Notamacropus eugenii: one gene and its partners. The protein of the gene in region 4 purifies or fractionates together with the protein of the main gene of each other region. This does not show direct contact. Links are inferred from orthologs where the notes say so. Each region holds a gene or a part of one and is shown on either strand. Other genes may lie near its edges. The genes, in order: UXT, GTF2B, RPAP2 and POLR2J.

Region 1 (7,087 bases), on a different chromosome or scaffold from region 4:
GGGGAGTCCCAGCCCGGTAGCAGCCACCCTCCCGCCCCTAGCTCCTCCTTCTTCTGCTGACACCGATCCCGGCCCCTGTCCACTCTGTAGCCTCTTATCCAGGACCGGCCTGGTTTACACCACCTCCCTCCCTCCCCCTACGACCGACCGAAGCCTGCCCCGGCCCAGAGCAGCCCGGAGCCGGCCCAGAGCACCACCGGGATAGAAGAACCGGGGTCTGGCTGACGTTATCGATCACGTGGTAAGGGAAGGCCGAAGGGGCGGGACCCGTGAGTCAGAGCAACCAAGCCGCCACCAAAGGGCGGGACCAACTAGAGTGGCAAATCTAAAGCCACTAAGGAGACAGATTGTGCGCCTGCGCAGAAAAAGGCCCAGCGCAGCTAGATGAATTTCTTCAGTCTGCGCCCACCGAGGTGGGAGGGGGGGGGGGGGGAAGGAGGCGGAGGAAAGGGGCCAGCTCGAACACAACCATAAGAACAAACAGGAAGAGAACAGAGACCGTGGCTCTGCGACTGCAGAGAAGATAATGGTAGGGAGGAAGGCTGCCCCATCTCCATGGCAACAAACATTCTCCCCTCCCCAGCCTCATTCCCAGCTTTTATTAAAGGGATTTCTGATTTCAAGTAACAAGAGTTGGAGCCTCAGTAGCAGTCTTCTTAGGGAAAGGAAATTCTCAGCATCCTAATCAGTGTCCTGGATGATCTGGCAGCTCTTGTAGCCCCTGCAGCTCCCGAAGGCCCTTCGAGGGAAGAGAGTACATAGGATCGGAAGTTAGGTTCTAAAATAAGCTTTCCACTGACACACCTTCCACCCTCCTGCCCTTCTTACCTCCAGCACCAATCGGATGTGGGCTTTGATCCGAGCTGAATCTCGGGTGAGGTTGTCACTTAGCCTGGAAAAAGATAGCTAGACTTAAGGAGGGAATAGCATGCTCGCTCAATTTGGTATGAAAATCTATCTTACACGACAGTAGGGGAGAAGGAGATAAGGGGGGCGGGGAATGATAGAAGGGAGGGCAAATGGGAAGAGGGAATAATTAGAAGTAAACACTTTCCGGAAGGGACAAAGTCAAGAGAGAATAGAAGAAATGGGGGGCAGGATAGGATGGAGGGAAACATAGTCTTACACAATATGACTATTATGGAAGTCATATACCCTATACTGAATTGCTTGCCTTCTCAGTGGGGATGGGTGGAGAGGGAGGAAGGGAGAGAAGCTGGAACTCAAAGTTTTAAGAACAAATATTGACAATCCATTTTTGCATGTAACTGGCAAATAAATACAGGTAATGGGGTACAGAAATCTATCTTGCCCTACAAGAAAAGAGAGAAGATGGAGATAAGGGAAGAGAGGGGTGTAATAGAAGGGAGGGCAGATTTGGGGAAGGGGTAATCAGAATGCACGGTGTTTTGGGGTGGGGGAGGGGAGAGATGGGGAGAAAATTTGGAACTTAAAATTTTGTGGAAATGAATGTTGAAAACTAAAAATAAATAAGCCGTTAAAAAAAAATAAAGATGGCCAGAGCTCGTCAGAGACCCTTTCCCTTTCCCCCTCACTCCTGTTCCCCTCAAACCCTGGAAAACCTACGAGGTGAGCAGGCGGCTTTTCCGATCAATGAACCTCAAGGCCTCCATCAATGTCAGCTCCAGGAAGAAGCCGTGGCCGAGGGCCACAAATATCCGGGAAGGGTCTGGCCTGGAAGACAGAGGCATTTCTCAAGGGGCTCTCTATGAACCTCGTGGCCCCTCTGGGGCTTCTCTGCATTTGGGATGGTCTCTGAGTTCTGGGATTAGGAGGTGGGGTGTTCCTTATGGAGTAAGGGGTTTTTAAGCCAGAGTCTGTGAACTTCAAAAAAACAAACAATAAAAAACCCTGGCTACCTGAAATGGAATGGAACTGATCTCCTTGGAGTCCATATATTCTATTTCATGCACTTAACAACTATGCTGGGGGCAGGGGCCCATAGGCTTCCTTCCACACTGCTCCAGGGTCGATCTAGGGTGATCCACTGATGAGGGGGGGACTCACACTTCGGCATTCACGAAGAAGTTACACCCCAAATCCACCTGTGTGTGCAGCCTCTGATCCCCCGATTCCTGCGGGAGGGGGGGTGCTTAGAGGGCGGGCCAGGCCGTCCCAGGGCCCAAGGGAGGGGCTCCCGGGCGCCCCGCCCCGCTCACCTGGAGCCGCTCCAGGACGTTCTTCAGCTGCAGGTAAGCGGCCAGCTGTCCGTACACTTCCTCCCGCTGCGCCAGGACCTGTCTGGGGTGGGGGGCAGAAGGGGTGTCTAGGCCCCGCCCGCTGCCGCCCCCCGCAGGCCCCACGCCCCCTCGCATTTACCTTAGGTCTCGCTGCAGGACGTCGCTGACGAAGGTTTCATACTGCAGGACCTTTGCCTGGACCCCCCGCGGTGCCGTCGCCATGCTGGCCACCCGCATCCTCCCACCCCCTTAGCCCAGGCCCCTCGCCACTCAATCCAGTTCAGCCAGCCGCGCCAGCAAAGACCCGCTTCTGACTTCCGGGGGTGAGCCGCAAGGGGAATGCATCACTTCCTGGCGGTTCTGCGTCACTTCCTGCCGCGTACTCCCCGCCCCTTGGGTCACGTGTTTGGTTGCGTGGCCTTGCACTCCCAGGTGGGTGGGAGCTGCCAGGCTGAAGCATGCGCAGAAGACCTGAAGAAGCAGCTGTTTCTGCTGGCCCCCGAGATCCGGGAGACTCGTCTCGTGACCTTCCGGTTTCGAGACTTTGCGCGGCTTTGGCCCCGCCCTTGAAATTCTCTGGCCCGCGGGCTGTCAGTAAGACAGCAAGCATTCAGGAAGCGCTTACTCTGTGCCAGGCATAAAAAAGCATCTTGGCTTCCCTCTCTGCCTTGCGGCCTGCCCTAGGCCTTCCCCCCTCAGATTGCCTGCCATTGACTACACTTTGTACTGACCTATTTGGTAAGACTGGGACCTCCTTAGGACCAGGAAGCCACCTTGAGGGTGACCTTGGGGACCCAGACTCCGGCACTGCTTGCTCTCCGCCTACACACACACCCACCCCATACAACAATTCTGGCATTAAAAAATACTGACATCTTTGAGGCTGGTTAATACCACCAACATTTCTTCTACTATCTACTCCCAGAGAGCCAACCCATACAGAAAATAATGTTTGCTAAAGAGGGAAAATCAGCAAATCTGATCAGTGTAGAAAAAAGTCTAAAACAAAAAAAAAATCTCTACCCTGTACCATTCACAATTCCACAGATAACACATATAGATCTTTCTTTTTTTACTTATGTTTATAACATATTTGTATGTGTGTATATATACCCAGAGAGCATACAAAGCAGTTTTGGATTAGATCAGATAGGGCAGTCGGCAGAAGTCACTTTTAGTATGAAAAATGTTGACCTGAAAACTTGGTTTAAAAAAAGAAGGCAACAGGCTAAATGCATACATTTTATGATTTAATTAATTAATTAATCAATTCCCTATTAAAGACAATGGCACCATAATGCATTATGGAGCCAGAAATGTTCTGGCTACCAATACAAAGAATTGGGCGGCCTTAAATATGTTTTAGGACAAAGAAGTGTTCTGTGTCCTTCAGATTTATGATCTCCATAAGTGACTAACAAGACCATTAGAAAGAAATTTCTTAATTGCATAGGCTGTAAATACAATAAGATAACAGAGTTTGACAAAGTTTCACATAGAAATTATGACCCAAGATGTCTATATTTTCTTTACCACTAATATGCCATAACAAACATAGTATATGTCTATAGATAATAAGATCTAGTGTCTTAGGTTAAAGGTCTCCTAAGGAGTGTAGAGTCAGCCTTGGCTGGCTTTTGCTGACATAGGAAGAAGCATTCTCTGAGTTTGTTTCAGAGAGAACAAAGAGATTATTCCAAAATTTTACATTAAACATTATCAAAATTAAAAGAATGCTTAATGTATTAGCATGTGTTTGTACATGGTTGCCAAAGAAGACCATGCCATCAAAGAAATAACATGACTTCCACTTGACTTTGCTCTGAGTGAGGGAGGGCTGTGCAGGTCACCATCCTCACTGCTCCTCCAGAGTCATCTGAATCCAGTGACCAGATATTCATCAGGATGACTGGAGATGACCCAGGATGAGGAAATGGGGGTTAAGTGACTTGCCCAAGGTCACAAAGCTAGTGAGTGTCAAGTGTCTGAGGTGAGATTTGAACTCAGGTCCTCCTGACTCCTGCACTGATGCTCTAGCCACTGCACCACCTAGCTGCCCCAACATATTAGGATAGCTATTTACATCAGACCAAAGCAAACAGTATCTTCTTTATCAGTCACTTAATGAACATTTGTTAAGCTCCTACAAGCTTTATTAGATTGGAGAAGGAGACGAGTTCTTAGAAATATTCAAATGAATTCTCTTTTGTAATCATAAAGTGGTTGGGGGAAGGGAATTACTGAAAAAGACATTCAGTGTCTCACAGAAAAAGAAAGAAACATACCAGCAAATACAGCACAAACTAGTCAGTTAGTTGGATGCCACCTGTGCTTGTTCTTTACAGAGAATTTTCATTTTTGATTGTTCTATGACTCCTTCTACTTACATTGTTGCAGCTCACTTTCCTCGGCATCAGTTCATGGAGATCTTTCCACACTTCTCTATTTTCATCACTTTTATCATTTCTTACAACAGAGTAACACTCCATGCCAATTCATGGACCACCATAAATGTAGTTATTCTCTAATGGATGAGCATCCACTTTGTTTTCTTATGGGAATAGCCAGTGGTTCCTTGACCTGCTGCCAGTCTTGCTTTTCAACAAGCAGAGAACTAGGAGATAAAATCAAGGTTTATTTTATATGCTTCAGCATAGGTCCAGAACTCAAAAATCTCTCTCAATCAGGAACAAAGTGTAGATTTAAAAGTTTAGATTTCCTAAAGTTTACACAGTTTCTAATCTCATCAGAGACACAAAGAAAAGAATACAATTTTGCATTACAGTGGCTACAAAGAGAAAGGAATCACTGATAAGAGAAAGAAAAGATTTACATGACAAAGATTATGCTGACGTGATTTGTATTTCAAAGATAACTGAAGAAGACAATCACATTAGAGCTAGTTCATCAAAAAATCACTAATGAGGGAAAAATCTGGGATTGGGGTAGCATGAATTCTTTTATTCCCATATTTTTTTTTTATGTAGATCAAAATAATTGGGAGTCTTATGAAAATCTCAGCCAGCTACATGACTTTCCTTCTAATTAAAGTGGCTTAAATAATACTGGAGAGAAAGGAATAAAAAATTCTTACAACTCCTTATGGTCATAGAAGGAAATGAAATGTCTCTCTGTAACCATATTCTCATACATTCTGTCAATCTCCTTTCTAGATGTCTCAGCATCAGTGTTATGGCAAACATTTCCACAGGCAGATAAAATATTGGACAACACTGAATACAACAGCAAAACAAAACCAATACACGAACAAATATGGGCATCATATCATAATTTCCTTAATCCAGCTTTTTCCTGACAACCAACCCAAATAGCCATTTAAACAACATATTTCTTATTCTGTTATCATGGGTTTAACCGTCCCATAAAGTCATCTGATTCTGGGAAACATTTTCCCTAGGAAAGTCTGTGCTCATGTGGTTTGTCCTAGACCAGCATTTACAAAGTTCAGACATTCATTTCAAATATTCTGATTTCCTTAAGTAGGCTGTCAGTTTTTAACTAGCAGGAATAGATCTGCTTCCCAAGTTCCAAGTCACTTGCAGAGAGGTAGTGCTGCTCAAGTCTGCTTGTTTTGTGTCCTTCATTTTCTTTTTTTTTTATTATTATTTTTTAATGTTTAACAATCACTGCCATACAATTGAGATTTTATCCCCCCCACACCTACCCCCCACTACCCCCCTCCCTCCCCACGACTGCATACAATTCTGTATAGGTTCTACATATACTTTCCTATTGAGTATATTTTCACTATAGTCATGCTATGTAGTCAGACTAAAATAAATGAAAGAAATCATATAACAAATCAAAACATGATACACAAACACATACACATACACAAACATGATCTGCTACATTTTGTGAATGACTTCCATATTTCTTTTTCTGAGTGTGGAAGGCATTTTGCCTTGAGTGTCCTTCATTTTCAAACAGTACCAGCGACATCATAGGGTAATGTCTTGACTAGTTCATGAACTGGATTAAAGTGAAGCAGAGCTGCACAAAGTTGTCAGCCTCACTCTTTCTTCCAGAGCCATCAAAGTCCAGTGACAGGACAAAAGTCAGGACAATTGGTGAAGGGCTAGGAACACAATGGATGACGTAGATGTCCCACCAAGCCCTAAGCGCTCAACAATGGCTGCTTGAGCCACCTTCATGGCTGTTAGAACAAACTCTTCTCATCAGCCTATTCTGCCAACAGAAGTCTTTACATGCTTGGGACAGACATTCCCCTAACTCACCAATGGGTTTTGAGGCCTGTAGGTTACCTTCAACCTGGTTTTACTGGGCTGTGGCTGCTGTATCTGCTATAACTTCTTGGAGCCACAAGTGAGAGTTGAATGCCAGGTGGATATCAAAGGTAGATAAGTAGTCCTGAAAAGGACTGGACAAGCGCTCACACCAGAGGTTAGTCCTCCCTGAACATTCACACACCCCTGGAAAATGTTGTCCATAAACTACAGGAGAAATTGGATTTTGCAACACAAGGCTCTTTTTGTCTCTTGATAATCAGAGAAACTTCAAACAGAAAAAAAATTAATCTTTCATTTAACAATAGCTCATAAAATAAGATGCAAAATGGGTTTAGAATTTTTTTTGAGGTTCAAGCTTTAATAAAAAAAATTAACTACCATATCTGTGAGAAACATACCTACTCGAAACAAAGAACAATATTTGTTGTGAAATCAGGAAAGCTTTTATTATTTTTTACGTTCTTTCCCTCCTAATGGACGGCTATACTTACTTCATACAAATGCACCGTTTATATGGCCAGCTTTCAATTTGAATTTCCCGCCTGCCCCCCATAGTTCAGCATTCCAGGGTTCACACATTCCTCATTTTCTTTATAGAATGACATGTTATAAATT
Region 2 (8,316 bases), about 450 Mb from region 4:
GTGAAGATTAACAACCATAACTACAAAAAGAAACTGCATCTTGTGTAAAAGTTATATTTAGGCAACTGAACTGAATTAATTCAGGGGTTAATTATCCAGTATGTGGGTTTTCCAAGTAATCTGGTTTCACCTTCTGCCAAATGGTCGATTCTCTTGTTGCCAAAAAAGAAAGAAAGAAAAAGAAAAAGATAAGTAAAGCTGAAGTCGGTTAATTTTGGCACCTGTGACGCTAGTAGTGCTGCTCATGTGTAATCAAATATTTGTGTGCATACTAGTTCATGGTTAAAGTTGAACCTTTTAGTCTTAAGATTTCTTAAAGACAGAATACGAATCAGTTTAATCAGAAAGGTTCAAGCACTCATCATGTTTTAAAAGCTGCCTTCCCCATTCCCTTAAGATCCAAATAATAATTGCCTCACCACTTCTATTCCATTCATAAAACCACTTTAGGACAAATATAAAAAATATTTTCTCAACAGTCAGTATCACACTGAATAAAAAACTTCCATAATCCAATTCTTAGGGCGAACGTTCTGGTTACCGAAAGCATGTTACTTGAGGTAACTAAAGACTTTCACAGGCCACAGCATCAAGTATTTTGATTATCATAGGGCCGGTTTCAGAATTTATATTCCCAAAGAATGGACATACCAACTCAGGTTGAAGCTTAACAGAGAAACGGTTCAATTTTCAAAGTTTTACAGACTTTTCAACTGTAAGGAACACTAGAAATCATTTCGTCAGACACCTTCACTTACAGATGAGGAAACTGAGGTCTGGTGAGGATTAGTGACCTCAGATCTCCTGACTCGTGGGTCACTATATTACATCCCAATTTTGCATCAATGTAACATAAAAAGATGATTCTGATTATTTCTGCAAAACTTAAATTTCCTTCAGTCATACTATTAAGCTTTGTACTCCCTTCTCTTCCCTCTCCACCAGTAAAACATGAAAATGCTTTCCTGACCTATAAATACCTAAAATGAACATAAAAGCATAAAAAATAACAATTATACCACCATAAAAGGATAATGGGGAAGGGAGAAGGGAAAGGGAAAAAGAGACTCTGAAACAGACGATTCTCCGGCAAAAGGAGAAGTCAGAGCTGATTCCGAACCTTGTTTTGGGTTCCAGGCTGCATCCAACCCAAGGAAGGCAGGGCCTAGGTCTCAAAGAAACTCTTCCCCAGTGCCCAGCACAGGCTTCTGCCGCACCAAAGCTGAACGCAAAACATAACTCTTCTGCTTTTTGGAGAACACAGCTCTTACAAAAACTGAACAGCTCCAAGAAGTAACAAGAACAGATCCTGGTTTCCCCCCATCTTCCTTCCTTTCTTGGGTGAAGGTGCTAATTCAGGGGAAACGGATGTCCTTAATCCACAAAGAGTAAACAGTGACTTAACACCATAGTACGTCCTTTGATTGGCAGGGCAGTCCCTAGTGTATTCCAATGTATTTTCAATTAAATTCTGCCCTAAATGTTACAGAAGATGACGAAACGTACCTAAGCATCTATGGTAAAGAAGCGCTTTCTTTCTCCCTTCCGTCCGAGGGCCCTCGCAACACCTGACGTCTCCATCCCGCGGCCCCCCACACCCTCACCTGACGGCCACACCCACTGCGAGGGTGACCCAACTGGAGGCTGTAAACAAGGGTGCCGGGCCGGCCCGCAGCCGGCGGGAGTCCCCAGTGGCCTACGAGTGCTCGGGAGAAGACGGCAGGCGCCCGCCGGGCTCGGAGGATGGGCGGCGGGGCACGACGAGGGGGGGAACCAGGCGGCCCCGGGGCAGGGTCTCCCCGTGGGAAAGGCAACAGCCGCAGGACTCAGTTTGGGCCCGAAGACCAGAGGCTGGGCTGGGGACTGAACCCGCCCGGGGCAAAGGGCAGCCCGTCCGGAGGAGGGTCGACGCGACATCGGAGCGAGGGCCGCGCTCCCCCCGACCCCACCGAGGGACTCCCCCAGAAGGCCCGAAGGGATTTGGGGTAGGAAGGTTTGCTTTCGGAGACGGCGCGCCGTCGGCCTAGGCTGAGCCTGAGACCCGAGGAGGGGGCGGCCGGCGGAGAAGCCGCGACCAAGGCCAGGAGAGAAAAAGAGGAAGCGTCCGAGGAAAGCCCCAGGGCGGGCGAAGAGAACCCCCCGCGTCCCCCCGGACGCGCCCGGGCCCGGCCCCGCCTCCTCGGCCTCGCCTCCCCCGCGACGCCGCCGCGGAGCCCCGCGGAAGCCGCCCCACCGAGGATTCGCTCCCGGCGAGTCGGAGCAGGACTTACTGACCGGCTAGTGGACGCCATCTTGACGGCGGCCGCGGTGGAGGTTTCGATGAGACCCCCAGGCGGAACGAAAAACAGCACAGCGGAACAGAGAGAAGCGCAAGGACAACTCCGGGAAGCCGCAGGCGGCGCCGCTTTTATAGGCAGACAGCGCGCAGCCGTAGTAAGACGCGCGGACTACGGAACGGGAGAGGAGCCAAGAAGCTCCACTGCTCACGGGCTTCGCCTTTTCTTCCGCCGGCGCCCCTCGGGTGTAATTAACTCAGCCTCCCCTGGGAGTCAGCTGACTCGACTTGAGTGAGGCTCGTCCTGAATGAAAGCCGGAAACGACCGGACGAGAAAAGCTTTCGCTGAAGTGCGTAGAGCCGGGTTACGTCCTCCGGGGCTGCCCCGCACCGTCATGCCTGAAATTGACGCGGTAAGTGCAGCTTTTGTGCTCAGGAGCCTTTATCATCGAGGACCTCCCCAAACCTTTGTTTATGTGGCTTATATCCGTCAGTAGAAATTTAAACTGATAAAATTTTAAAATATTTACAAGTTTATTAATAAAATAAAAACAAACCCATTCCATGTGAGCATCAATCACTCAACCCTATATAATTATATATTTATAAATAACATTAATTCTGTGTGTCTGTCTGTAGTTAGGTGGTGCAGTGGATAGGTAGAGGGCCAAGCCTGGAGTCAGGAAGATCCGAGTTCAAATCCAGCCTCATGTACTTCCTAGCTGCGTGACCCTGGGCAAGTCACTTAACCCGTCTTTGCCTCATGTGTATGAAAGGACACACTGGAAAAGGAAATGGCAAACCACCCCAATGTCTTCGCCAAGAAAACCTCATCGACATTGACTGAACAATAAATATAATATTGTGATGTGTATTATTATATTATCATTAAACATTTAATAAGCACCAAGTATGCGGTAGGCACTGCGCTAAACACTGAGGTCAGAAAAAGTGGCAAAAGACAGTCCCTGCCTTCAAAGATCTTACAAACTAATGGGAAAACAGCGTATCAATAGTTATCTAAAAAGCAAACTGTGCAAGATAAAAAAATAATTATTTAAGAATATATATATATACATAAATATATATATATGCATATATATGGAAGACCCCAGAATTAAGAGGAGTTGGTAAAGATTTCCTGTAAAAGCATAATTTTATGAAAAAAAACACGATTTTCCAAAACAAAAATTAGGGAGACAAGTGGCAGTTTATCATATTTTTACATAACTCTTTAATATCTAGCTTAAATAGAAGACAGCGAGATTCTCTTACCTGCTTCTGCAGTCTGTGAGCACCTTAGAAGCCATAAGAAGAAAGTTTGTGCCCTGGTACAAAGGAAAGAAGGATACCTTCCAGAAGTTTGCATATTTATAACAGCAGGACAAAGGAAGGAGGAGATACCAGATATCTCCACTTAAAGGGGTATGGCAAGGGAGGGGGAAAGGTGCAGGAAAATTGGGAAAAGGAGAAAACCGCTCTTGAAGGGGAGGAGCAAAAGCCCCATTCTTTTCTAGGCTATGAAAATGGAATGGTCTTCTTATCTACAGGGTCCCAGCGACATAAGCAGTTTCTCAGCCTAGTGAAGACTGACTGGCCCCTTGTCTTGACTCCCAAGGGCACACAGAGAGTCCAATTGATGCACTTTAAGGGGCTCAGGGATCCCCAAAGACCTGAGTACTGGACAGGGTCATATGGAATGAATTCATGGACTCAAGTATTCTGTAAGTCAAGGTGACAAAGGTTTATTGTAATGCCAATATGCTAGGCAGTGTTCCCTAAGGAACTTGCCACTTAACAGGAATGATGCTAAAGCTAATATAGGAAAACTAGTGAATTATCCAGCAGATATGCTAATTAAATGATAACTTATAACCTTGTTCACAGGCATCATTCACTATTGGAAACCGGGGGAAGGGGTTTCTCAGGGGTGTATTTTTGATCTGTTATGTCTGTAGTGTTGACCTGAATACTTTGTTAAAGAAAAGTCAACAGGCTAAATGCATACATTTTATGATTTAATTAATTAATTAATCAATTCCCTATTAAAGACAACGGTAACATAATGCATTATGGAGCCAGAAATGTTCTGGCTACCCAGTGCAGAAATCTTCTGGCTTATATACATTTTGCTGTGAGAAAGGAACTCTCCTAGTTGAACAAATCATAAATTTAGTAAGACAAGACAATTAACAAAGTAATGTTGGTCAGGCCTTGCAATTCCAGCTGGGTAAACATATGTCTCGGTGATAAGGAAGGAAATCCCACCACTAGTGAGTGGCAGGCTTCCTGCCCTAAACAGATAACTGACAGGAAAGGGTAAACAAAGTTCAATAGAAATTACGACCTAAGATGTCTATATTTTCTTTACCATTAATATGCCATGACATAGTATGTGTCTATCCCATTATTCAAGATAGTATCTTAGGTTAAAGGTCTCCTAAGGAATGTAGAGTCAACCTTGGCTGGCTTTGTTGACATAGGAAGAGGCATTCTCTGAGTTTGCTTCAGAGAGAACAAAGAGATTATTCCAAAATTTTATATTAAACATTATCAGTAGCAAGGTAGCTTTGAGAGTTGATGTCTATAACTTGACCTCTGGATTGAATATGATAACTTTGTGAATCAATACATGGCAATTCGGTGGTTACAAGATAGTCCTGTTTTTACAAGAGAACTTCTTCAGAGGTCAGCTTGTTCTTGTGATGGGGCCCACTCCTGAGTAATTGTGGGGAAAGGTAGTTTGTTTTACTGGGGCGCACTCATGAGTTATTGCTAGGCATAGTGTCCTAGGGCTGGGGTGAAAATTGTCAGGGATAGTGTTTTTTGAAACTAAGGAGAAATGGTATCTTGAAATTGGGATAAAAGCACAAGCACCCAAGCACCCCATCACAGTTTGGGATGAAAACAGCAAATTACATCAGCTGGGGAAGATGTGGAGGCAGGGAGCTTTGTCCTTCACGCATTCAGGGCCTCTTGGATATTCTAGGTTCAGTGTTTCTGGAAAAATATGGCAACTCAAAATGGCAAATTCAGGAGACCCCTTCACTGTCCTTAACATGTTCCACCAAGCTGTATCGTGTATTTAGAACTGAAAGGACTCTCAGAGACCAGCTAGTCTAAACTCCACATTTTACAGATGAAGAAACTGAGACCCTGGGAAGGTGTAGAGATTTCTAAGAGTTCACATGGGTAGTAAAGAGCTGAGCTGAATTCAAACCCAGGACCTCTGACTCCAAATACAACAGTCTTTTCATTGTGCCATGTTTTCATAGCCCCAGTTACAATGGAGAGCAACATGGTACAATCTTAGTTCAGTCCTATATTTATTATGGGTATGCTCTGTGTGTAAAGACTAATGAAAAATAGGTTGGGCCTACACAGAGCTTGTTGCCCACCATATAATTCTGTTCATTAGTGTCAATAAAATATGCCCATTTTATTATTTAATAATAGGTATTATCAAATTTATTAAAATCTTGCTTCCCCTGAATAAGAACTGTCTTGGGCAATAGAGGAAAGCATGAATAAGGTAGTAGAAATTACCTTGGATGAAAAATCAGAAAGCTCAGATTCCTTCCTTTTCCAAGAGAAAGACAACCTTTAAGGCAGGAGTCTGCTTCTTCAAATCAAATGCTTTTTTTTTAATAGACAGAAAACAATAGGCAGTGAGGGGTCTTTAGGATTTTCCACCTCTTCTAGTCAACTGTGTGACTGTAAAAAAATGGGAAAGCTACCAGTCAGACCACCAAGGTGTGCCTTATACAGCAAGACAAAACAATAAAATTCATTGGAAGGAACCAAAGGCCTCGACCTAGGATTTCAAGGGAAATCATAAAAAAAAAGTAGGAATTCAGGGAGAATAACTTCCAGACCTCAAATTATATGACAAATGAATCATCATCAAAACTGTTTTGGCATTGGTCCTGGAATCAGGAGGATCTGAGTTCAAATATGGCATCAAACACTAGGCAAGTCACTCAACCCCAGTTGTCTCCAAAACAAACAAACCAAACACACACACACACACACAAAAACTATTCTGATACTGGTTGAAAAATAGAAAAGATCTATAGAACAGCTAGCATAAGGAATCCCTGGAAACAATTCTACTCGATTTTTGTTTTTCTATTGTTGTCATTTTATTCACATCTGACTCATTGTGGCCCAGTTTGGGGTTTTCTTGACAAAGATACTTGAGTGATTTGCCATTTCCTTCTCCAGCTCATTTGACAGGTGAAGAAACTGAGGCAAACAGGGTTGAGTGACTTGCCCAGGGTCATGCAGCTAGTAAGAATCTGAGCCCAGATTTGAGATCAGGAAGATGAGTCTTCCTTACTCCATGCCCAGCATTCTGTGTGTACACACACACACACACACACACACACACACACACACACACACATATACACACACACATACACACACATACATTGAATAAATGCAGATATATACAAAATAGTTAAATATAGGGTCGTTTGAGAAGGACACTAGCAGTTGGGGGGGGATTACATGAAGATGGTACTAGGGGTATGTCTTTTTTCTTTTTTTTTGGAAGCAGTCAGGGTTTAGTGACTTGCCCAGAGTTACACAGCTAGTAGATGTTCTTCATTCCAGGCCCACCACTCTATTCACCGATCCACCTAGCTGCCCTGATAATTAATGGGAAATTTGGTCATCTTGTAATATAATACTCATAGTAAACAGTGCCTCCCAAAAAATCACCATGAAAATCATGGCAATTTTTGCATCGATATGTATGTAGAGAATGAGAGGAACAAAAATTCTATGAAGACCTTGATGAAACCCCTCTATATTAAATCAACATGTACAGTAATACTTGGTGATTTAGAGATATATACAAATATATCTATACATATATAGATCTCTCTATGCATGTATGCATATATGTATAGTTTTAAAAATTCATTTCTTACACCTAAGCCGGGGTGGGCAACCTATGACCTCGAGGTCACAGGTTCCCCACTCCTGACTTGAGCGTTATTTCAAAGAGAGAAAGAAGAGAAGGGAAAGAACACAGATCAGGAGTAAGAAATGAAAGTAAGCAAGAAGTAAGAAATGAAAAGAAAACTCCAAGGCTTCCAGTGTATGTTGAATTCTCATGTCTCCATATAATGGATACAGGCTTCAAGAAAAGTCAGGAAGGATACTCCAAATGATGTCACCAACAATGAATGTGATTATATTTTAATAGAAAAAGTGACTGGGCACCAATGTGGGAGTCATTTCTGAATCAGCTATTCTTACGCAACTAGCACATGAAGTTCTTAGAAGATTCAAATTCGTATGAAATTAAAAGTAAAAATAACATGGGTGCAATTAAGATAACTCCAACCTGACTTGTTTCAACAAGTTATTGATGTCCAAAATGAGAGATGGTTTAAAGACAGACATAGACACAAGAGGTCCCCATTACTAAGGAAATTTAAGCAATGTAAATTGATTACCATAACAAATTGTCCAAAAGACCGAGGAAGTACCTCAACCAGAAAATGTTTGATTTCCTTGCCAGGTAGAAACATATGAAATAAAAACAATGCCTTTAATACTTATTGAAACTCTCAAATTCTTAGTCACTGACTTAGAATATAAACTTTTTGGCTAAGCACTATATGTGAGATTGTAAGCAATTATCATCTCCCAGAGTCCTGAGAAGCAGTGGAGTGAAAAACTATTTTGCAGAAGAGACAGAAGAAACCCAAGGAAACCAGATCATCTTAAAGACTTTACAAAGCTGGAAGGACAATGAACAGAAGAAAAATAAGAAACCCTTAAGAATTTCTCTAACACTGTCTTCTCCGTCAGCGTCATTTAGATTTTAACGTCACTGCCTTCTATGTTAAATGAGAAAATAAAAATGGCAGTAAAGAAGCCAAAAACAACAACAGCTGGACTAGATCAAGATTTTGAGGTTGCTGAGGGATCAGTTCTAAATTCTTGGGAAAATCATGTATTTTATTGCCAAAAAATGGGAAAGAAAGCAAGATGTCAGTAACTGTTGACAAATATGGTTAGTTTCT
Region 3 (7,564 bases), about 450 Mb from region 4:
TTGATGCTCACTAGCTGTGTGACCTTGGGCAAGTCACTTAACCCCAACCGCCTCATCCTGGGTCATCTCCAGTCATCCTGATGAATATCTGGTCACTAGACCCAGATGGCTCTGGTGAAGTGAGGGTGGTGACTTGCACAGCCCTCCCTCACTCAAAACAAAGTCAAGTGCAAGTCATGTCATTATTTCTCTGATGGCATGATCTTCTTCTGCAACGAACGATGAACACACACACAGGTCATTCTGACTCAAGATGAAAAGCTCTAATCCTCTGGGCCACTGGCTGCCCCTACCCAGAGCCAAGGCATCCTCCCCCAAAACCTCCTCATTTGGCAATGCCCTGTTAGGAAGAAGTGGAAGTAGAGGTCCTAGGAGGGAAAAAGGGTGAGAGACTGTAAGGCCCCATCACTCTTACACTCCCACACAGGATGATCCACAGATCCTGTTCTCACCCAAATCTCCTAGCCTCAAAGGCACCTCTCTACAGGTCCCTAGATGGTGGATAGAACTCACTACTGTGACTGCGATTTTGGGTGAGTCTGTGAGCTGACTTGGGCCTCTTTTGTCATCTACAAATGGAAGGAGTTAGACTCTGGGTCTCTGAGGCTCTTACAGAACTAGATCTATGATTCTACAATCTCACAGACTAGGGAAGGCAGAAAGATACCAGAGTATTCCTCAGATCGCTTCTCAAAGGGAACAGGGGTAAACTCTTAACACAGACAATCTTCTAAAGCAGATGGCATGAGAATGGGCTAGATTCCCTTTGGGAAATGGCAAGAGTCCTCTAAAGTGGGAATGTCACTCTTAGATAGTGAATGTTCTAAGGCAAGGTGGAGAACCTGTGGCCTCGAGGCCACATGAAAACAATGTTTTGTGAAGTTTGAATTCAGTCAGAGTGGCACCTGAGGACCTACAGGGCCACATGTGGCCTCAAGGCTACAGGTTCCCCTTAGAATCTAAGGGGAACCATAGTAATCTACTGTTTGATAAATCCAAAGACACAGCTTCTGGGATAAGAGCTCACTATTTCACAAACACGGCTGGGAAAACTGGAAAACAGAATGGCAGAAACTGGGCATAGACCAACATCTTATACCGTATACCAAAATAAAGTCCAAATGGGTATATGATTTAGATATAAAGTCTGATAATATAAGCAAATTAGGAGAGCACGTTTAGTTTACCTGTCAGACTTATGGAGAACAGTGGAATTTATGACCCAACAAGAGACAGAGAACATTATAAAGTGCAAAATGGATAATTGTGATTACATTAAATTGAAAAGTTCTTGCACAAAGAAAGCCAATGTAGCCAAGGTCAGGAGTGACACAAAAAATTAGAAAATTAGGAAAACTAGGAAAAAATTTTTACAACCAGTATCTCTGAAAAAGGCCTCATTGTTAAAATATATAGAGAAATGAGTCAAATTTATAACAATACAAGTCATTCCCCAATTGATAAATGGTCAAAGGATATGAACAGGTAGTTTTCCAAGGAAGAAATTAAAGCTAAAGTCAAATGAAAAAATGCTCTAAATCACTATTGATTAGAGAAATGCAAATCAAAACAACTCTGAGGTACCACATCACACCCATCAGATTGGCTAACATGACAAAACAGGAAAATTATAAATGCTGGGGAAGATGTGGGAAAATTGCAACACTAATTCATTGCTGGTAAAGTTGTGAACTCATCCAACCATTCCGGAAAGCAATTTGGAAGTACACTCAAAGGGTTATAAAAATGTGCATACCCTTTGACCCAGCAATACCACTTCTAGAGCTGTATACCAAAGACATCATAAAAATGAGAAAAGGACTTGCATGCACAAAAATATTTATAGCAGCTCAGCTCTTTTTGTGGTGGCCAAGAACTGGCAATGGAGGGGATACCCATCACCTGGGGAATGGATGAACAAGCTGTGGTACATGAATGTAATGGAACGCTATTGTGCTATAAGAGATGGTGAGCAGGAGGACTTCAGAAAAACCTGTGAAGACTGAACTGATGCTGAGTGAGGAGAGGAGAGCCAGGAGAACGTTACACACAGTAACAGCCACCTTGTTCAATGACCCACTTTGGTTGACTTAGCTCTTCTCAGTAATGCCAGGACCTAAAACAACTCCAAAAGCCTCATGATGGAAAATGCCGTCCACATCCAGAGAAAGAACTGTGGAGTCTGAAAGCAGATGGAAGCAGACGATTTTCTCTATTTTTGTTTTGTTTTGTTTTGTTTCTCATGGTTCCTTCCATTCGTTCTAATTCTTCTATACAATATGAGTGATGTGACAATACGCTTAACAAGAATGTATATGGAGACCCTCTATCGGATTGCAAGCTGTCTTGGGGAGGGGGGAAGGGAAGGAGAGAAAATTTAAAACTTATAGAAGTGAATGCTGAAGACTAAACACAAATAATTTAATTTATGTTTAAAAAAAGAATCTAAGGAGACCAGAGTCTTCTAAAGAGGCAGAGGGGAGAAATGGTCTGGATCACCCTGTCTCTAAGGGGGGGTCCCCATCCTCTAAGGGGGTTCCCTTCTCTCTAAGGGGGGTCCCCATCCTCTAAGGGGGTCCCCATCCGCTAAGGGGATTCCCTTCTCTCTAACGGGGGTCCCCATCCTCTAAGGGGGTTCTCATCTCTCTAAGGGGGTTCCCTTCTCTCTAAGGGGGTCCCCATCCTCTAAGGGGGTTCTCATCTCTCTAAGGGGGTTCCCTTCTCTCTAAGGGGGGTCCCCATCCTCTAAGGGGGGTCCCCATCCTCTAAGGGGGTCCCCATCCTCTAAGGGGATTCCCTTCTCTCTAACGGGGGTCCCCATCCTCTAAGGGGGTTCCCTTCTCTCTAAGGGGGTCCCCATCCTCTAAGGGGGTTCTCATCTCTCTAAGGGGGTTCCCTTCTCTCTAAGGGGGGGGTCCCCATCCGCTAAGGGGATTCCCTTCTCTCTAACGGGGGTCCCCATCCTCTAAGGGGGTTCCCTTCTCTCTAAGGGGGTCCCCATCCTCTAAGGGGGTTCTCATCTCTCTAAGGGGGTTCCCTTCTCTCTAAGGGGGGGTCCCCATCCTCTAAGGGGGTTCTCATCTCTCTAAGGGGGTTCCCTTCTTTCTAAGGGGGGATCCCCATCCTGAAGAGGGGTAGCCGGGCCGCCTGATTAGCCCCACCTCCCACAAGGGGCAGGCCCCTCTACCTCGGCGCCTCGCCCCAGTCCCTCGTGGGGCGGCGCGGGTGGCGTGACGTGACGGGCCCCTGGGCCCCAGCTCTTACCCGCGCCTTTGCGAGCGCCTCGGGAGCTCCTGCTCCGGGGGCCGCCACGGGCCCGTGGCTTCGGCTGGTCCTCCATGTCGGCCGCAGCAGCTCCTCCTCCTTCTCCCAGAGCCGCCCGGGACGCGTGTCAGGGGCGGGGCCTCCGTTCGTCCGCCATGATCGCCCCGCCCCCGGCTCCTCCTCCTTCCCCGGAGCCACCTGGGATGGGCTCGGGGGGCGGGGCCTTAGCTCCTCCTCCATGACGACATCACAGGCTCCTCCTACTTCTTCCTTCCAGAGCCTGGGAGGTGAGGCAGGGGGCGGGGTCAGGGCGGGACTTCAGCTCCTTAACCATGGACTGTCTCACCGAGGGCTCCACCTCCTCCCTGCGCCGTGGGAGGTGAGATGTGGGGCAGGATGGGGGCGGGGTCAGAGGCAGGGCCTCAATCCTCCATGACGACAGCGCCACCGACTCCTCCTTCTCCTCCTCCTCCTATCCTCAGCCTGAGACCTGCTGCGCAGATGGGGGCGGGATCCGGGGCGGGGCCTGGGTCCTTCCGCCATTGGTCCTCGCGCCGGGCAGGGCGGGGCGGGAGGCGGGGAGGGGCGGGGCCTCGGCCAGGCTGAGCGGAGGAGGAGGCCCAGGCCTGCCTGGAGAGGGTCGGGGCAGGTAGGCGGCTGCGGCGGCGGTCTGGTTGCTGGGGAGAGCTCGGGGCAGGGCTTTAGCCCCAGGCCCGCGGCCTGAGCTGGGGAGTCACCGGACTCGATCCAGGCCGCGGCCCAGCCCAGGGTGCCTAGGGGGTGGAGGGGGGCCCTACACGCGGCTTGAATCTCGGCTAAGCCACCTGGCCCCCAGCGGAGAGAGCGGGTAGGCCGGGAGACGGGGCTCGTCCGGTGGGACAGCCTCCGAGCCCCTCCCCCCAGCCCCCGAGGACGAGCACTGCTCAGCGCACTCTTCGGGCCCAGCACACAGTAGGCACTTAGTTCACAGGCGTCAGTTTCAGGAGTTGGTCAATGTCACCGATGCCCAGCAGCCAAGCACGTGCAGGGGGAGCTTCGTGAACTTGCTTCTGGTCTGTCTTCTCCCAGTGATCCTCGATTGATTGATTGATTGACTGATTGACTTCCCACAAGTAGGAGAGGCTTCTTTTAAAAGCCATCTATCCATTCGATTTCCCTCCGTCCCAGCAAGGGGTGAAATTACTTAAAGCTCTCCGGTCTCAGTTTCCCTCTCTGTAAACTGAGGGAATTGGCCGTCAGTATAGGTGATGCTGAGGTGGAGTGATGGGGTGATCAGGAGAGTAGGTGATGATAGATTCCCTGAAGGGCTAGTTGCATTTTTTTTTGTCTAAGTATCCTCAGAGCTTAGCCCCGAGGCCCCGTAATCCCTTAAGGAAGGCTTGTTGGATTGAGTGCTGTGGCTTCAGAATCCCAGAGCAGCGCTATCCCAGTGCTGATGGATGAGAAGGTTGACACAGGGGATTTCTAGGGCCTCTTCTGCACCTAGACTATGACCCTGTAAGTGGGGATGCTCTGATGCCCGTGACATTAGAATAGTGGAATCTCCAATAGAATTGTAGAAGTGTAGAATCCAAGAATGATCAAAGAGTTCCCCCCCAGTCCCTATCAGTAGAGCAGGGCTTCTTAAATATTTTCTACTAGGGATGCCCAGTGCTTCTTAAACTGTGTGTCAGGACCCCATATGGGTTCGCTAACAGAGAACCAGAGTTCTGAATTAGACCTGGGATTTCTCAGTATTTGGAGTGATTTTTGCATTACAAAATGCTTACCCTTTCCTCTGGAAAGTAAAGACATCTCAGAAAAAAGTAGGCATATGTAAATGTGGAACTGGAAAACTTAGAAAATACATGAAAAGTTCATTTTTTAAAATACCAACTATTGTTTTATCATCTTTAATATTTCCATAAAAAGACTGCTAAAGTTCAGCGATGATTTTTACTAAACTCTTAAAATTATTAGATTCTTCATAATAATACTTAATTCAGAAGTATATTTATATACCTACTCCTTAATATAATAATAAAATATCTTCATCAGTTAATTGCAGTGTGGTATATATAGCACTGAGCAGTCAAACTCAAGGCCAGAGGCTCTTGCAAAACTCAAGAGTGAGGCTGAAAAAGAGTAAAATATAATTGGGAAATGTTTAACAAAATAAAGAAAAATACAATATAATATAAATAATGTTAATTTGTGGTTTTCTAATGTGGCTGGCTGGGAGGGATTCATTTCTATTTGAGTTTGACACCACTGACATTGAGTATAGAGTCATGCTCAATTTGGAGTCAAGTCTCCTATCTCAACTACGTGATAATGGTCAAATCACTTACCCTTCAACATCCTCAGTTTCCTGACCTATAAAGTGGAAATAATAATAAACCCACTATCTATCTCACAAGTTGTTGTAACAATCAAATAATTAACAAATATATTTATAGTGTATATACATATATATATAAAGTCCTTTGTAAATCTTAAAGCAGGTTATATAAATTGAGCAGTTATTTTCTTTTTAGTGTTTCTCTACAGTAAAACTGAAAGAAAAGTCAAAAACTCAGGAATGGCTGTGGAAGAACTTCAGTCCATAGTAAAGAGATGTGTAAGTAATTTTCTTTTTTTAATTTTTAATTTATTTTATTGCAGTCATAGCAACTTATGAAGATGGTCTAGAATAAGGAACAGAGGGGCTGCCATCTGTGTCAGAGAAGGGACTCCACATCCATAAAACCAGAGAGTCCTGACATAGCTCAAAAAAATTTGAGAAATGGATCTACTTACTTTCTTTTTTAAAAAATTAATTTATTTGTTTTCAGTTTTCAATAATCACTTCCATGAGTCTTAAATTTTCTCTCCCTCTGCTCTCCCTCCCCAAGATGGCATACAATCTTTGGCATGCAATCTTATACGGGTTCTACATGTACATTCTTATTAAATCATTTTCACATTAGTCATGTTACATAGATAAATTAAAATGAATGGGAGAAAAAACAAAACAAAACAAAACATAACACAAGAGAAAATATTCTGCTTCAGTCTGTCTTCCAATTCCATAATTCTTTGTCTGGATGTGGATGGCATTTTCCATGAGTCCTTTGGAAATGTTTTAGGTCCTTACATTGCTGTGAAGGGCTTAGTCTGTCAGAAACAATCATCGCACACTGTGGCTGTTACTGTGTTACTGTGTCCTGGTTCTGTTCATTTCACTCAGCATCAGTTCATATAAGTCTTTCCAGGCCACTCTGAAGTCTTCCTGTTCATCATTTCTTATGGCACAATAGTATTCCATCACATTCATATACTACAACTTGTTCAGAAGTAATTTTCTTTGAACAAAAATAAACCTCTCCCTTCCACATTGTTATTTGTTTGTACCAGAGAATGCTTTGTATGCAAGGCTGGACGTTTGGGTTTTCTCTTGGAGCAGTGTTGCTTTTTTGCCCCCACTATGAATAAATACTCCCAGGGGTGGGAGAAGGATAGTGGAGATACCAGACACACATTGCTTCTCTAGCTTCCTAAGTTTTTCTGAATTTTAGTACATTGGATTCTAAGATAGTTTATTCGGATACTGTTTAGGAAAGTCATTAATTCTGCCCATGTGTTTGTACTATGGGTGTAGATCAAGACTAAACAATCAAGTCATAATTTAATTTATTATATAATCACGTAAATGAATGCTAACTTGTCGGGTTTTGTTGTTGTTTCTAAAGCAAATCCTAGAAGAGGAGAACTTCAAAGAGGAAGATTTTGGTCTCTTTCAGTTAGCAGGCCAAAAGTGTTTAGAAGAAGGGCACGTTGCTCAGGTATTAGACATTTTAGAAAATGAAAAGAACAAGGTAAGTGTTGTCACTTACTATCATGTGTAACTTTTTATACTTTATTAGATAGAGTGCAGCCGACGGATACCCTGGATAACCCTGCCCAGATTACTAAATGAGCATTGCATGAGCGTTCTATTCTTAGTGTACATCTAAATAGCTAATACCATTGGGATACTTAGCATAATAGCTTAAGCCTAACCTTCCAAGCGGTTGCACAAATTCACATCTTGGTAAACAGTGTTAAAAATGGGATTCAGCTGAATTTTTTTTTTCCGTTTGCCAAGTAGAACTCTTTTAGTAATGATTTTAAAACACTTTGTACTGTGTACTTCATTAAAAAAAATTAAACAATTAAGAGCGAGGGTTCATGCCTATGGTTTTTTTTAACAAAATTGGTGGCATTTAGGTAGAGACTTGGATTAATTTAAAGCTTGGGCTGTATTCGTACAGTTTTCACTATACAAAATATAGCCCAACTC
Region 4 (8,067 bases):
TTATAGCTCCCCTCTGATACTCACAGGGAGTCAGCTGGCTTCGGGGCAGGCCAACTCATGGCCTGGGGCTATACTGTACTGAGGAAGGAAAGGAGGGCTACTAGCATTTATGAATCTCCTACTATGTGCCAGGCATTGTACTAAGCACTTCACAATTATCATCTCATTTGCTCCTCCCAACAACTCTGTGAGTTATGTGCTATTGTTATACCCACTTTACAGATGGGGAAACTGAGGCAGGCAGCAGCTAGGTGATTTGCTCAGGGTCTCACAGTTAATAAGGATCTTAGTTCAGATTTGAATTCAGGACTCCAGGAACAGTGCCACTATGAAGCAGCCAGCAATCTTTTCCTCCTTATAGACTTCCTTATGTGCCTGACCGCCTTTCCAGGTTCTTAACCTCTTTGTGTGGGTGTGGTGGGTCTAAGAATCCCTTCTCAGAATAATGATTTTAAATGCATAAAATAAGCAGGATTGCAAAGGAAACCTGTCGTGTGGAGAATTTTCAGAATGGGCTGATAGGTGGCGCAGTGGAGAGAGGGTGGGACCTGGAGTCAGAAAGGACTGAGTTCAAATCCAGCCTCAGTCACTTTACTAGCTGTGTGACCCTGGACAAGTCACTTCACCCTGTTTGTCTCAGTTTCCTCCTCTGTAAAATGAACTGGAGAAGGAAATGGCAAACCTTCCAGAATCTTTGCCAAGAAAACTCCAAATGGGGTAAAAAAGAGTCAGACATGACAAGTGCCTGGAACCCAGGTTAAGGGCCCCTGAAGAACCTCCAGCCTTGGTTTTGTAGAAAGAAGGAGAGTTTTGTCTTTAGGTTACTTCTGAGTCACAGAGGGGGAGCACCCCTGCCAGCTGACGGCTGCCACATCTATTGGTTTCTACTCCCTAGACCTTGTCTTTATCCCACCCACTGGCCCACCCTGGACAAACCCTCCCTGCCCCCATTAGTACCTGCAGTGCTAAACTTTGCTCTTCCGGTCTCCCCTCTCCCCGTTCCCTCCCATCGGGGACACCTTGTCTCTTCTGTCTCACAGGTCTGGGCTGTGACAAAACCCGAAACCGGGTGACCCTGCAAGAGTGGAATGACCCCCTGGACCCAGACCTGGAAGCGCAGCTCATCTATAGACACTTGTTGGGTGTCCAAGACACAATCCGGTGAGAAGGACATCTGTGATCTCCCTCCCTAGTCTTGTCCAGGAGGGTGTTGCCAGAGGAGGGTACCCTCCCAGAGTAGGGCACCTCCCCAGCAGCACGTCTCCTGACCACCTCTCCCTTTTCCTAGACCTGGTAGGCAGAGGGAACCCAAACTCTTGACTTCTTTGCCTTCCTGAGCCTCTTGTTTCTTTTCTGACCCAATTTAATTGATTTAACCAATATTCATGAAGTGTTTCCAATGAGCAAAGTCCTCTATTAGGTGCTGGGTCTTAGGGGACCCTTGGGTGAGATATTGGGAGGTGAGGGGATGAAGAAGGGAGAGGAGCAACTCAGAGCAAGTACCTAAGAAGCTTTGACCAGATGGCTCGGAAGGTCCTCCAGTTATCTGTGCCTCATTATGGCCATCCAAGGACAATGATTAGAAGTAAGGCCACCAGGATAGCTGTGCTAGACTGCTAGGCTTGAAAACAGGAAGAACCCGGTTCACATCTTTGCTTGATGTGTGACTATGAGGGAGTCTCTTAGCCTCTCTGGGCCTCAGTTTCCCCTCCTATAAAATGAAGATGTTGATCTTGGTAGCCTGGGAGATCTCTTCAGGTTCTGAATCTGTGGTCTGGTGCCCTCGGTTCTTGATACGATGACTGCGACTTATCTTTTCATGAAGAGAAGTGGCACAAGAGATGTGTTCCTCAGTTTCCTCACCTGTTGGATCCTCCTAGAGCTGAAATTTTAGATTCTAATTCTGTCATTCAGGGCTTTTCCCTTCCCTGGGAAAGTGATAGAAGTTGATGTTTCAGAGGGTCTGGGTCCTCATTCTTCCTTCAAAGTTTAGAAGAAATGATGGGTTTAAACAGGCTTCTTCATGAGAGCAGGGCAGGAGGTTCAGGATCCTATTCTCTCTCCCAGGTCAAGCTGTGAATCAGGACTCATGGGGGAAAGAATTGGATGCTTGGTAGGGTAAGATCAAACCGAGGTGGAAATGGTTTAACACCAAAGAGAGCATGGAGCTTGGCATAAGGTGCAGAGTGCTGGACCTGGGCATAAGGAGACCTGAGTCCAAATCCTACCTCTGACCCTTACTAGCTGTGAGACCCAGGGCAAAGTATGTAACCTTTCAGAGCCTTAGTTGCCTTATCTGTAAAATGGGGAAAATAGTATTACCTACCTCACAGGGTTCTGAGGATTTTTGTGGACTTAAAGTGTTAAATAAATGTTAGCTGCTCTTATCATTACTAATTTACTACTACTATTAATATGGATACTACTGAAGACACATATTAGGCAGTCATCCACAGATTCTCACAGGAGTAAGAGGGCAACCTTGGTCTAAAACTTGTCCCTTTTCCTTTCCCTCATCAGTGAAAAGTACCTGGAGCTGACTGCCCTGGGGGCTGCTGGGAATATCCCCAACATCCAAAGTGAAGGTAGGACCCTGACAGTCCCTCCCAAACCCCCCTCTTCTCATTCCAGAACAAGCTAACACAGTCCTTCCCAGGCCAAGGGAGGTAGTTTGATGAAGAATTCTGATTCTAGAGTCAGAGGACCTAGGTTCAGATCCCACTTGAGACATTTACCTAGGCCTCAGTTTCCTCATCTGTAAAATAATGGAATTGAACTAGATCTGAGGTCTCTTCTATGATTGTTTCTGTGGACAGATCACTTAAAGTTCCCTGGGCTTCTGTTATACCTTCTTTAAAATGGGGGGGGTGGGGTGGGGGTGGACAAACTGAACTCCCAGGTCCCTTCCAGCTCTGATCCTATGAAAGTCTGGCCCCATGGAAGGTCCTGAGGTCCTAGGACTCTGTGGTCCTTACCAGCCACTCTGGGGATGGTCTTTCCCCAGCACCTGAGGATGGTCCCACCCAGCTGTTCCAGGTACTCCGGGACCTAGAAGATGCCCACCGCTCTGGTCCTCTGACTACAGTAGACCAAGAGAAGAACTATCTCTTGGAGTTGCAGACGTGAGACTGAACTCTGCTTCCCTCAGGCCCAGGCCCTGCCTCGATGCCATCCATCCCACCCTCTGCCTCCTGCTGGGACTGTTTATTCCCAGGAACTCCCTGTCATGCTGGTGGCCTAGGAGCTCTGTGGTTTGGAGATCTGCCTGTGGCCTGGGTGAGCCCCTGGTCCCTGGCCCTGTCCTCACTTCTGCTCCAAAAATCAGCTTTTGGCTGCAAACCAACACCCCTTTCCCCATTTCCACGAGCACTTCAGGGGCCTGAGCCTTGTCCTGGGCTGCGCAGCAGCGCTGTTCCAACGTGTCAAGAGAGCAGCAGGAGGTTGAAAGCGCCCCTCGCTGGGGAGGGGAGCAGAGACATCCATGTGTTGGTTTCCTGGGATGGGTCACTGGGGCCCCAGGATCGGCAGTCCTGGGCCCTCCTTGTCCCCCATCCTTGGCTCGCTCTGGGTTACATCCTTGATTCTAACATTCCATGAGGTTCACAGTCAGGGAGCTGGGCGCTGGGGGAGACAAAGGGGTGCTGTGATGACTGATTTGGACTTGGTGGTTCTAAGGAGTCTCTGGAGTCTGTTCTTCCCTCTGCTGACCCCATGACCGGTGCCTCTGGTCTCCTAGCTGTTCTAGGGAGGAAGTGTGGAGAGCCATGGCCCCTGGGGAAGGCAGGTGGAGAAAGTAGAAGCTGTCACTTCTGCCCCCTTCCCCCCATCCCAGCATGAACACTGGGCCTCTGAGGCTCCTGGGGCTCCCTAGGGCCAGGACTCTGCATCCAGCTTCTTGATTCAGCCCCTGGGGTGGGAAGCCTCTGGCAGCGCCGCTTCCTCCTGTGCCAGCAGCCCCTCCCCTTCGCTGGGCATCACTGCAGATTACAATAAACTTTCCTTTACCCTTGTTGGGCTGGGGCTCTGGTCCTGTCTTTGGGGGGTGGGGAGGGGCACCGAGCATGTCTGGGGTCTGAGGGAAGGGGCACCTACTGTGTGCCAGGCACTTTCTACAAAGGTTATCTCACCTCACCCTCACAACAACCCTGGGAGGTAGTTGCCATTGTTATCATCCCCATTTTACAGACGAGGGAAACTGAGGCAAACAGGTTCCGTGACTGGCCCAGGGTCACACAGGGTCGGAAGCCTGACTTTCGTCCCGACTGCAGGCCCCGGGCACGCCCGCCCCGCCCCCCACCCCAGCGCTCCGCCCCTACCGCTGTGCGCCCCGCCCCGCCCCCACCGCTGCACGCCCCGCCCCCACCGCCTCTGGCAGTAGCCGGAGGCCTCCAGGGATTCCGAGGAGAGAGCACGCTGCGGGCGGCGCATCAGGGGAGTCTTCCTCCGGCTTGGGAGGGGCTCGCTCAGGCCCCTGGAGGCCCGCGTGGGGGAGGCTGCCACCTTGCGGAGGAAGCAGGGAAAGCAGGAGGAGGGGGCGCCGGAGGAGGAATGCTGGGACACCATCTAGCACTGGAAAGGCCGATTCCCACCCCTTAGTTTAACTGAGAAGGAAACTGAGGCACAGAGGGGGAGGGGATTTGCCCAAAATGAGGCAGCAGATCAGAGCCGGCGTCATCCGCTTCTACCAGCGTCCAAGACGGCGTCCGAGCCCGGGCGCTGGAGCCCCGTCGCCCCCTAGCGGGACGGGAAGAACACAACGCCGGACACGCACGCGCACACACGTCTACTAGTGTTGTCCCCTCCCCTCCCGTTGGCCGAGCGGCGCATGCGGCCATCTTCCTCTCCCCCCTCTGGCTCCGCCCCTTCCTTTTCTGTTCCCTCTAGCGGCGGAGTGCGTTACTTCCTGTTCCGCCGCGGTCGCGCATGCGTGAGCTCCATTCGGAGCCAGGCGTGCTCCGGAAGCGGAAGCTGGGTAGGCTGGGGAGTCCCCGAGCTAGCGGCGGCGGCAGAGAATGAACGCGCCTCCGGCCTTCGAGTCCTTCCTCCTCTTTGAGGGAGAGAAGAAGTGAGCGCGGCCGCGGGGCGGGAGGGCCGAGCGGGGCTGCCGCGGCACCCTCGGTAGGAGGGGCCTCAGCCTCCTCCGTGTGATGGGGGTAGACCTTTCCCCGGGCCTCAGTTTCCCCGCCTGTTCCCCCTCTCAGAACACGACGGCCCCTTTTTGGGAAGACGTCACGTGTGGTAGCGCCCCCATTGTACAGAGGAGGAAACTGAGGCCGGCAAGTGTCGGAGGCGGGAGCCGACCCCGGCTTTGTGCCAACTAGTGACCTAGGAAGCAGCAGGGGACGCTCGTCCTGGGGGGGGGGGGGGGGGGCCTGAGAAAGCGCCACAAAAACGCGACAAGGCGCTGTTTGGGCAAAGAACGGGCCGAGCTTCGGTCCTGGGTCCGCAGCGAACGCCTCCCCACGTGTGCCCCTCCAGAGCCGGGCGGGATCGGGTGGGCAGCCCGCGCCCTCACCGTGCCCCCTTCCTCCCCAGGATCACTATCAACAAGGACACCAAAGTGCCCAATGCCTGTTTGTTCACCATCAACAAGGAGGACCACACGCTGGGGAACATCATCAAGTCGTAAGTGCGGCGGGAGGGGGCGGTGCCCAGGCTCCCCCGGGCAGGAGGAGGTGCCAGGTCTACCCAGGTGACCCAGGCCTTGGGCTGGCGCCGCCATCCTCCTTTCCTGAACACTTCTGGATCTTAGGGTCGTGTGCCAGGGAAGAGCGGAGCCCTCTTCATGCTGAACCCCTGAATTCCCAGTTCAGAACTTCTCTCCTTATTCCAGAATTCTGCTTGCTCACTCAGTAAACCCAGACAAGTTCTCCAAACCCGGTCCTGCAGCTTCCGAAGCAGAGATTACACGGCCCTGGAGCGTTTTCTGCTTTGTTTAATTTATTCACATAAAACAAAAACGTTTCACTCGTCTGGTAAGAATTCGTCTTCTCAGCTGTACTCAGAAGCAGAGCATCTTTGCTGCTCATCTCCCTGCCCGCCTTTAGGTCCCTTCTGTCCTCTGCACTTAGACCAGGGAACTCTGGGGAAAGGGGGAAAGGTGAAGCTAAACCTCCTTTCATCCGTTGTAAGCGTTAACCTTGAATTGCTCAGTACGAAAAGGGAGGAGTTTAGGAGACTTCAGTTAGGTTGGGAGAGCGTTACCTGGCACCCAGACTAGCATAAGTCAGTCTTATACTTAGTGTTAACTTGGGCTGCCAGATTGATCTTCCCCAGATATTGTTTATTCCGTTTCCCTGCTCAGACACCTTCAGTAGCTCCCTGGTTCCTATTGAATAAAACTCCTAGGTGGCATTGGAGGCCCTTTTGTTTTTCGGTGGTTTTGTCAGTTGTGTCCAACTCTTTGTGAGTGTTTGGGGTTTTCTTGGTAAAAGTACTGACTGCAGTGGCTTGCCATTTCATTCTCCACCTCATTTGATAGAAGAGAAAACTGAGGCAAATATGGTTAAGTGACTCGCCCAGAGTCACTCAATAAGTGTCAGACACCAAATTTGGACCCAGGAAGATGAGTCTTTTGGTCCAGGGCTCTGCCCACTGTGCCACCTAGCCACCAGGTCTGATCCGTAGGCTACATTTAAAATAATTTCTTGTTGACAGCTTTTGTTTGTATGTAACCTCTATTTCTCTCAGACTAAAGTAACATATCAAAAAAGTCTGGCCTTTTATGCAACATTCTGCATCTATGGTCTCCCTCCTCTGCAAAGAAATGGATTTTTGGGAGGGGCCAAGCTTGGTTATTACAGTATTACAGCATTAGTTTTCTCTTATTTTGTTCTTTCTCTACACAGTGTTGTAATCGTGTATTCTGTTTGCCTGGTTCTGCTGGCTTCACTTTGCATCAGTCCATTTGGATCTTCCCATACTTCTTATTTTCATCATGTTACTGTCTTATAGCAGAAGCACTAATTCACTTCTCTTTATGAATCAGTTTATTTAGCCATTTCCCCATCAATAGGTCTCTCTCTTGTTTCTCGTTCACTAGTGCACCTTAGCTGCCCTTTTAGGCTTATTTCCCTCCTCATCATGTTGAAACCCTTTGCAGCAGTCAGGCCAATTTCCTCAAGATCCCCTCTCGGTGTTGTGTGTATTCACCTGCCTCTGACTTTGCCTCATTCAGCTTGCCTGGTATGTCTTCCCACCCCTCCTCCACATCCTCTCTGTGTCCTCTTAGATCCGATACTTGTAGATCTTTCCTGGGCACCGACAGGGAATATTAAATGCCTTTCTATTCCCCACAGCATTGCCACATCCTATGCCTTGCACACAGTTGGTAACTCACTTAAATTTTACACTAAGTCATATTGCTTACTGGCCAAGTACATGACTATCATTCCACTTTGGTCATATTCAGAAGTTTAAAATCAAGAAATATTTGTTAAGGTCTTTATATAGAGTATTGTGGTAGATAGCCGGAGAGTTAGAAGGATTCGTTAAAAAACATATCCTGCTCTTGTGAAGACTGTGGAGAGTCTAGCAGTGTCTCAGATGCCCAGATCACTTTAATGCTGTAGAATACATAAATCCTTTAGAAAGCTGCAGACCAGCGCTGTCAGGTCTGACTCACATCATCACAGCATGAGGAGGTCAGAGAGTCTAGGGGAGGCGGTATTTGGATTGGGCTTTAGAGGAGGAAGAGGAATTCATCTGGCAAAGAAGGAGATGGAAGAGAAAGTACTCCAGGTTTTGGGGACCCAGGCAGGAAGGGAGATGTGTTCTGGGAGCCAAGTGGGGCTGAGAGGAGTGAGATAAGGGTCAGGACTCTTGGAATGGCATGAAGGCGGGGTCTGCAAGTTTGAGCTTGGCTCTCAGTGAACAGACAGGAAGGGGATGAGTGTTTCTTGGCTACTGCATTCTGAGCTGTGTTGCCTTCCTCCACTTTGTCAGTGAATTCATTTTTTCCTCCATGAAATATCCAAGAGGCAGCAGTATAATGTAGTGGACAGAGAGCTGGCTTCGACACCAGGAAGATCTGGATTCAAGTCCCACCTTTGACTCTGAGCTAGTCGG

The links.
Region 1: the proteins of POLR2J (region 4) and UXT purify together in Homo sapiens (affinity purification with mass spectrometry; 3 studies listed by BioGRID and IntAct, with this or other methods). This does not show direct contact. The link is inferred for Notamacropus eugenii from reciprocal best matches to the Homo sapiens genes POLR2J and UXT.
Region 2: the proteins of POLR2J (region 4) and GTF2B purify together in Homo sapiens (affinity purification with mass spectrometry; 3 studies listed by BioGRID and IntAct, with this or other methods). This does not show direct contact. The link is inferred for Notamacropus eugenii from reciprocal best matches to the Homo sapiens genes POLR2J and GTF2B.
Region 3: the proteins of POLR2J (region 4) and RPAP2 purify together in Homo sapiens (affinity purification with mass spectrometry; 5 studies listed by BioGRID and IntAct, with this or other methods). This does not show direct contact. The link is inferred for Notamacropus eugenii from reciprocal best matches to the Homo sapiens genes POLR2J and RPAP2.

Annotation. Positions count from the first base shown.
Region 1 is NC_092879.1:101,807,796-101,814,882, forward strand, and holds UXT (protein UXT), read right to left. Parts: upstream 2,558-7,087; 5' UTR 2,439-2,557; coding exon 2,341-2,438; intron 2,263-2,340; coding exon 2,181-2,262; intron 2,097-2,180; coding exon 2,029-2,096; intron 1,696-2,028; coding exon 1,588-1,695; intron 893-1,587; coding exon 829-892; intron 740-828; coding exon 686-739; 3' UTR 585-685; downstream 1-584. UniProt on the Homo sapiens protein: Involved in gene transcription regulation. Acts in concert with the corepressor URI1 to regulate androgen receptor AR-mediated transcription. Together with URI1, associates with chromatin to the NKX3-1 promoter region.
Region 2 is NC_092873.1:499,140,530-499,148,845, forward strand, and holds the start of GTF2B (transcription initiation factor IIB), read right to left. Parts: upstream 3,440-8,316; 5' UTR 2,292-3,439; coding exon 2,275-2,291; intron 1-2,274. UniProt on the Homo sapiens protein: General transcription factor that plays a role in transcription initiation by RNA polymerase II (Pol II). Involved in the pre-initiation complex (PIC) formation and Pol II recruitment at promoter DNA.
Region 3 is NC_092873.1:503,848,323-503,855,886, reverse strand, and holds the start of RPAP2 (putative RNA polymerase II subunit B1 CTD phosphatase RPAP2), read right to left. Parts: upstream 3,455-7,564; 5' UTR 3,341-3,454; coding exon 3,265-3,340; intron 1-3,264. Other genes in the region: GLMN (glomulin), read left to right, coding at 5,825-5,863, 6,975-7,100.
Region 4 is NC_092873.1:51,623,163-51,631,229, forward strand, and holds the start of POLR2J (DNA-directed RNA polymerase II subunit RPB11-a), read left to right. Parts: upstream 1-4,858; 5' UTR 4,859-5,012; coding exon 5,013-5,065; intron 5,066-5,535; coding exon 5,536-5,625; intron 5,626-8,067. Other genes in the region: ras GTPase-activating protein 4-like, read left to right, coding at 1,041-1,161, 2,521-2,585, 3,149-3,597. UniProt on the Homo sapiens protein: Core component of RNA polymerase II (Pol II), a DNA-dependent RNA polymerase which synthesizes mRNA precursors and many functional non-coding RNAs using the four ribonucleoside triphosphates as substrates.